Linked DNA regions of Nothobranchius furzeri. The protein of the gene in region 1 purifies or fractionates together with the protein of each later gene. This does not show direct contact. Links are inferred from orthologs where the notes say so. Each region holds a gene or a part of one and is shown in the gene's direction. Other genes may lie near its edges.

The links. Proteins that work in one complex are often made in the same cells at the same time.
Region 2: the proteins of rpl23 (region 1) and rplp2 fractionate together in Homo sapiens (co-fractionation; 4 studies listed by BioGRID). This does not show direct contact. The link is inferred for Nothobranchius furzeri from reciprocal best matches to the Homo sapiens genes RPL23 and RPLP2.

Annotation. Positions count from the first base shown.
Region 1 is NC_091758.1:12,992,923-12,996,570, forward strand, and holds rpl23 (large ribosomal subunit protein uL14), read left to right. Parts: upstream 1-1,102; 5' UTR 1,103-1,206; coding exon 1,207-1,219; intron 1,220-1,669; coding exon 1,670-1,753; intron 1,754-2,044; coding exon 2,045-2,173; intron 2,174-2,423; coding exon 2,424-2,537; intron 2,538-2,881; coding exon 2,882-2,964; 3' UTR 2,965-2,995; downstream 2,996-3,648.
Region 2 is NC_091743.1:70,041,254-70,044,632, reverse strand, and holds rplp2 (60S acidic ribosomal protein P2), read left to right. Parts: upstream 1-1,161; 5' UTR 1,162-1,279; intron 1,280-2,175; 5' UTR 2,176-2,176; coding exon 2,177-2,299; intron 2,300-2,368; coding exon 2,369-2,417; intron 2,418-2,490; coding exon 2,491-2,589; intron 2,590-2,663; coding exon 2,664-2,740; 3' UTR 2,741-2,792; downstream 2,793-3,379. UniProt on the Homo sapiens protein: Plays an important role in the elongation step of protein synthesis.

The DNA of each region.
Region 1 (3,648 bases):
GGAACACCGCCCCAGCTGTCTCACCGCTACAGCTAATAATCACTGCTTCAGTTGACACACCACATTACTTAATGATCAGATTTTTCATCACCAAACTATTGCTTTAGTCATTCACTCTGATCATTAAATGATATTGTGTTACCAGGAGTTATAATAGGTTTATTGTGGCTGGCTATCAGGGGATAATGTCTTCCCTCAGCTAACAGATGATGAAAACAACCCTGGTACTTTCATTCAGTCACTCCACGTGTCTCTAATTCATCAAAACTATAATTTCCTGCTTTGATTGGAAAAGGTATGTGTTGCATATTTTAGGTGTCTCTACTGCAGCCTCTAATAAACTAAACCCAGGCCTCGGGTCTGGGTTGTCATATTCGTCCTGTGCCGTCCTCCCTCCAAACACCAGTTATCACGTTTACTGCTGGAGCTCAGTGGGGCTGCTGGTCCATTTCCAGGACAACCCAACCATCCTGCTTGGTTTCTTTTCTTCCTCTATCGCTCTCAGCAGGGGCAGGCTGAAGAAAACTGTAATGAAACACTGACATCTAGTGGAAAATAGACCACTGCAAATGTTTGTTGAGAATCCAGCAACGACGCTCTGAAAAATGATAAAACGTTTGATTTACGACTTCCTTTAATATGTGTATTGAAGATTGTTTCTTCAAATAGTCTGTTAAACGTTAAAATGTCTGGATGGGTATTTTCCTTAGTTTTACCCCTAAGGAAATTTTAAAATTGTTGTCGTTATTATTAATGCCTCTCATCTCCACCAGTGTATGAATGTGTGTGTGAATGGATGAGTGATACACTGTAGTGTAAAGCGCTTTGGAGTCCTTACTCTGAGAGGTGCTATATAAGTGCAGGTCATTTTTCATTTATTATTATTATTATTATTATTATTATTATTATTATTATTATTATTATTATTATTATTTTATTGTTGTTGTTGTTTTATGACACTATATCCTAACGTGGGAGTCTCTAAACGTTTATTATATTGTAATTTTTATTGTGTTTAATTGTGAAGTAATGGATCTGAGAAAGATAATAAAAGTATTCTCTACTTTTAAACTAAATACGTTTTAAAAACAAAGTCACGCCCCCCAGGCTCATACGCACTGCTCCTCTACGTGACCCGGAAGTAGTTTCCTTCACCTTTATAAGGTCTACTTCCGTTTTTTGCCTTTCTCTTTCCCTGCCGCAGCCATGTCTAAGAGAGGTAGGTTTATCATCATATGAAATCCACCTTCATCTGCTGTTTTAGTTTTACCCAGAGTTCCTAATGATGCTCGTTTAGGACAGATTGATAATAAACCACACGTTTCTGTGGCTCGTTCGGAGTTTTTCTCACGCTTTAATGATCCGGAGATGATAGCATTGTTGCATTTCAGTTCTCGGAGCCATGTTTGCTTCAGGGCCGTGAAGGCGAGCTGGACTGCATTAGAGCTGCAGGTTGGAAATAGACGTTTGTGTCAAACTACGCGGCTGTTTATCGACAAGTAGAGAAAACAGGAGCTAGTTAACTACCGTAGACTAGCTAATAGCTAGCCGGTGTGAACTCGAGGTGGACGGAAGAGGAAGTGCTAGCTAAAGCTGGGCTACAGCCGAGGCTGTGTGGAGTTTCAAGCACCGGTGGAGCCTTGGACTGATTAGGGTCCTCTCGTTGCAGGACGTGGTGGTTCGTCTGGAGCGAAGTTTCGCATCTCACTGGGTCTCCCAGTGGGAGCAGTCATCAACTGTGCAGATAACACAGGTACGTCTTACCTGCCCTGTATAAAAGCTGGATTCAAGGCGCACCTCATGCCTGTTGGGTCACCTAACATCCAGCCTGGACTGGAGGAAGGGGCCTTCAGTCCCACACACACACCTACTTGTATTCTCAAAATTACACTAACACTTATTTTATTCAAGTGTGAAAGTGAAAACGGGCAAATATGTTATAAATTACTTGAGCTATTTAATGAACTGTGTAGTTGAGCGGGAGGGTCTGGGCATTTAGTTCCAGTAATCCTGTTTTCATGCTTGTTTTCCTTCTGACTCACAGGTGCTAAGAACCTGTACATAATCTCTGTGAAGGGCATCAAGGGTCGTCTGAACCGTCTCCCCGCTGCAGGAGTGGGGGACATGGTCATGGCCACAGTCAAAAAAGGCAAACCAGAGCTCAGGAAGAAGGGTGAGTGGTAACAGCTGCATTGGGTTTGATCTGTCCCCCGTTACACACAAAACGAGTGTGGTGCATGTAAGGGGGGTACTTCTCTTGGGAATGGACACGGCTGGATCAAGTTGAGTTTCGTTCAAAGAAATGTTTATGTGCCAGTTGTCCGTAAGTGCGACTACAGAGAAGCGATTAGTCTGCTTTTGGGGCACAGCTGCATGTTTCCACCTCGCAGTCACCTGTGATAACACCACTGCTCCTCTCCCAGTGCATCCTGCGGTGGTGATACGGCAGCGGAAGTCGTATCGGCGAAAAGATGGAGTGTTCCTCTACTTTGAAGACAACGCAGGTGTTATTGTGAACAACAAAGGAGAAATGAAAGGTGTGTTTTTAGTTTCAAGGCATTAGCTGCTGTTTCTGTGAGATGTAGACTGTCAGTGTCTTCGCACCACGGTAAATCTGTGTGTGGTTAAGAGTGCTGGTGGCGTGAAGCGCCCCCTTCCAAAAGCACTTGCTTGGTCTGCTCAGTGGCTGGGTGAGTTGTCGAGGAAGGGCAGAATGACTTCATCACTGTGGGTGAGACAGCAGAGACCTTCTGTGACTGACTGATCTCAATCAGGGATGAGACAAATGTTGCTCCACCAAACTCAAACCCATTTCTAGCCTTCTGCCTTTTCAGCCTGCTGCTTCATTTGGACCGCAGTAACGTCTCGTCTCTACCTGCAGGTTCAGCCATCACAGGCCCAGTGGCCAAGGAGTGTGCAGACCTGTGGCCCAGAATCGCTTCCAATGCCGGCAGCATAGCCTGAGACTGTGTTTACAATAAAAGCTGTTCATCAACCCAGTGGCCTGGCGACTTCATTTAACGTCACGTTGGGTGTGGCGCCCTGTGATGTGGATGTGGTGGTGCCGTAAGCATAATCGTACTGGAGACAAGGCTGGAGGAACCAACCGCAGCCTGCTTTAGTGTAGAGCAGGGCCATTACCAGGGGTGTCCAATCCTGGTCCTGGAGGGCCGGTATCCTGCATGTTTTAGTTTGAACTGTTTCAACACACCTGATTTTAATCAGCAGCTAATTAATAGGCTTCTGCAGAGCCTGATGAGCTGCTGCACAGGTGTTTCAACCACTGAATCAAGCCTGTTGGAGCAGAAAAACCACAAAACCTGCTGGATACCGGCCCTCCAGGACCAGGATTGGACACCCCTCCTCTAATCCAACACTAAATCCAGTGGTTGAATCACCTGCTGCTGGGGTCAGCTGTGTTGCAGCAGGGTTAAAACCAAAAGGTGCTGGATACCGGCCCTCTAGGCCCAGAATTTAATAGCCCAGTTGTAGAGCGATAACCTGGATGAGGTGTTGACATGCCTTCAAGTACCGCTCACACACAGGTAGCTGATCTGCATGCTCGCATGACCGATTGGATTATAAATGATTTGTTTCCTAACCTCTGTGTAGGAAGGTGGCCTCTTCCTGTAAGTCCAGGAGCAGGAA
Region 2 (3,379 bases), on another chromosome or scaffold:
CGAAGCTTTATATTTAAACGCTGGTGTGACGTAGCCTGGCCTTTTCTTTACCCTAATATGCACTTTTGCGCTGATGACACAATCATTTACTGTTTTGGAACATCCCCCACTTGAATTACTACAGAAAGCTTTTAATGTGGTCCAACAAACCCTTCTGCAGTTAAAATTGGTCCTCAGTGCTGACAAGACTAAGCTAATGTTGTTTTAAAACTCTAAAAATACCTAAGTATGCCCTCAGTGACCACTCTTTAGGGAAATATCATAGAGGTGGTCCACACATATACATGGAGTCTGGCACGATCACTCCCTCTTCAAGCTCCATATAGACAATCTTGTGAAGAAACTCAAACTCACACTGGGTTTCTTTTTCAAAACAGTGTTAAATATATATATAATAAAAAATAATAAGATTATATATTTAGTTATAGATATATAGATATATAGTTTTTTTGTTTTGGCAAAAAAAAAAACTAACAAAAAAAACTAGTTACTGCAATATTTCTGTCTAATCTGGATAGTGAAGACCTTTTGTATATGAATGCCTCAGCACAGTGTTTTTGTAAGATTGATGTGGTTTATCATGCCTCGCTGAGGTTTATTACTAACTTAGACCACAACCCATCATTGTGGGTCATATTAGCATCCCGAGTGGGATGGCCTTCTTTGTCCACCAGGAGGTTGGGACATTGGTATACTTTCATTTATAAGGCCATGCTTAGCTTACTTCCGAATTAAGTCTGTAACTTAATCTCATGGAGAAGTGTAACTTTTCACAGTCTGCGTGCAATCAATCGTTACTCTGGGTTTTGTTTTCTCGCCGAACTGTGTAAAGGCTTTCGTTCACTCTTCTCCTTCTGCATGGCACAGGCTGCAGGAAAACTGGAAATTAACGGAGTTTACTTCGTTGAACACATTTTAAACCAGACTGAGAGCCCTTGAGATGGATCCCCTGTGTTGTAACTGCCTTCTGTAATTTTGTACATAACATATATGTGTCGCTGAAAAATTTGTAACTGTAACTTTTGCTGCCTGTTGGCCAGGACTTCCTTGAAAATTAGGCTTTTAACCTCAATGGGGTCTTCCTGGTTAAATAAAGAATAAAGAAATCATATCTCCACACAACCTGAGATTGGCCTTGGAGGAACATGATTGGACACCATTGTTTTATTACAACCAATTAAATTAACGCACTGAACTTCTTTCAACTTCCGGTTCCGCCTCTCCTTCTCTTCCGGATTTCGTAGCGTGACCGACGTTTCGTGTCTATTTAGACTTAAAAGTAAGTCCAAAATTGAGAGTTATGAATTATATTGTTTGTTCTTTTCAGTCACATCGCGTTTTAGACGTTTATCTCCCTCAGTTGTTCAGTTAAATGTGTTTCCAATGTTTCCTCGTTTGTTGCAGCGTAGCCAGAAATGGTAAAACTGTCGGTCGCCATGCTGCTTCGTTTAGCCATTAAACACTAATAACGTAGATACACGCTCAGAACCAAAATGTGCTCTTTGCTGCAATGTATTGGCAACAGTTTTCAAGCAGCCCTTTAAGTCAAACGTCTTCATGTATGCATTTATGAAAGTCGTGTACCATTTTACACTAAACTAAAGCTGATGTTTGCTAGCATCTGCTTGCTAAATGCTAACCACTCGGTGCCTTAAGTATGAAGTCCCGTCGCTCTGTGCTTATTTGCTTCAACAGAGAAACTGACTGTTGTATTGTAATAATTTAAACTGAATCTAAAGTGAATTCGAAAATATTGTCATTTGCTAGCACCAGTTTTAGAGGGCCTGTTAGCAGCTAGCAATTGATTTAGTTGGTCACTTTCTACATTAATCAGACTAAACTATATTTTATATCATATCATTCAGGGGTTAAACAACGCAAATAGGGGAGGCAGTGAAACATTTTACTATTAAGGGCTGGGAAGAATTTGCAGCAAATGTAGGTTAATGTCTGCAATCATTTTAACAAAGCATTATGAAATGACAGGATTATGATGAAATCAATTTGAGTAGGTTTGTTATTGGAAACTAGGCCAGTTAATATAAAAAAAAATTTAAATCTCTGATAGTGGTTGATTCTTAACTACAAAATAAATACAATTTAGGGAATTTAGGAAGTTCTAATGTTGCTTTCATTCATTTTCTTTGAAATAAACCTGATTATTTTTTGTGTCAGAATGCGTTACGTGGCCGCTTACCTCCTCGCTTCACTGGGTGGAAACACCAGCCCCTCTGCAAAGGACATCAAGAACATCCTAGGTAGCGTGGGGATTGAGGCCGATGACGAACGCTTGAATAAAGTATGTTGTTGGTGGTTTACTGTTGAAACTATGTATTTTCCATGTGGTTAAATGTTATTTTCTCAACAGGTCATCAGTGAGCTGAATGGAAAGGACATCAATGACGTCATGAATTCAGGTTAGTGGCTCTTAAAACTGAAAATGCTAAGTTCAGTGTCCTGCAGTTTCATGAGTTTTTCTTTTGGTCACAGGCCTCTCCAAGTTAGCCTCTGTACCAGCAGGTGGTGCTGTAGTGGCACCTGCCGCTGCTGCTGGTGGGGCCGCTGGAGCTGGGGCTGCCCCTGCTGCTGGTACGTAATTATGCCTGTAGTAATATCTTTAACTTTTTTCCAACATTAACATTTGACTTTAATTTGCTTTGCAGCGGAAGAGAAAAAGGAAGAGAAAAAAGAAGAATCAGAAGAGTCAGACGAAGATATGGGCTTTGGGCTCTTTGATTAATCTTCCTTCTCTTTGTATAAAAAGCAATAAAAATGTAAAAGGTTTACACACATTCTTTTGGTCCTGGATTTATTTTAGAATTTTAAAACAGTAAGTACTCAAAAACATTTAAGTTTTTAAATTTAATCATTTCTAAGGATTCTTGGTAAAGGTTATTCTCTCTCCTAAGAGTGGTAAAGATGAGACATCCAGATGGCATTATGCAATCATAAACGTGTGTGTTCAGTCTTGTAATATCTAAAACCACAAAAGCCCTGTTAACTCCTAATACTAGGGCTGAAGGAGCCAAAGAGCTGCTGTACATAAATACTTTTTTCTGTGTATTTGTTAAAAAGAAAGGACACTATGTTCTAACTTCAAGGCATGTTTGCACTTGAATTTCCTAGAAACCCCTTAAACCAGTTATGCAATGTAAAGACAATATAATTAAGCAGTGGTTCTTTTTTCTTGAGGTAAAATGATTACGTTTTTAGTGTTCACTTTATTTTTGTCGAAAAATATTAACTCAAAACTGCATTTTAAAAGCAGAGTTGTGCAGGCATGCTGGCCTCTGCAGCAAAGCAGTCACCATGTGCATTTATAGATGGTGTGTGTGTGTTTGCTTAATTCATTAGTCATGGTACTTGTGACACCTGTCAT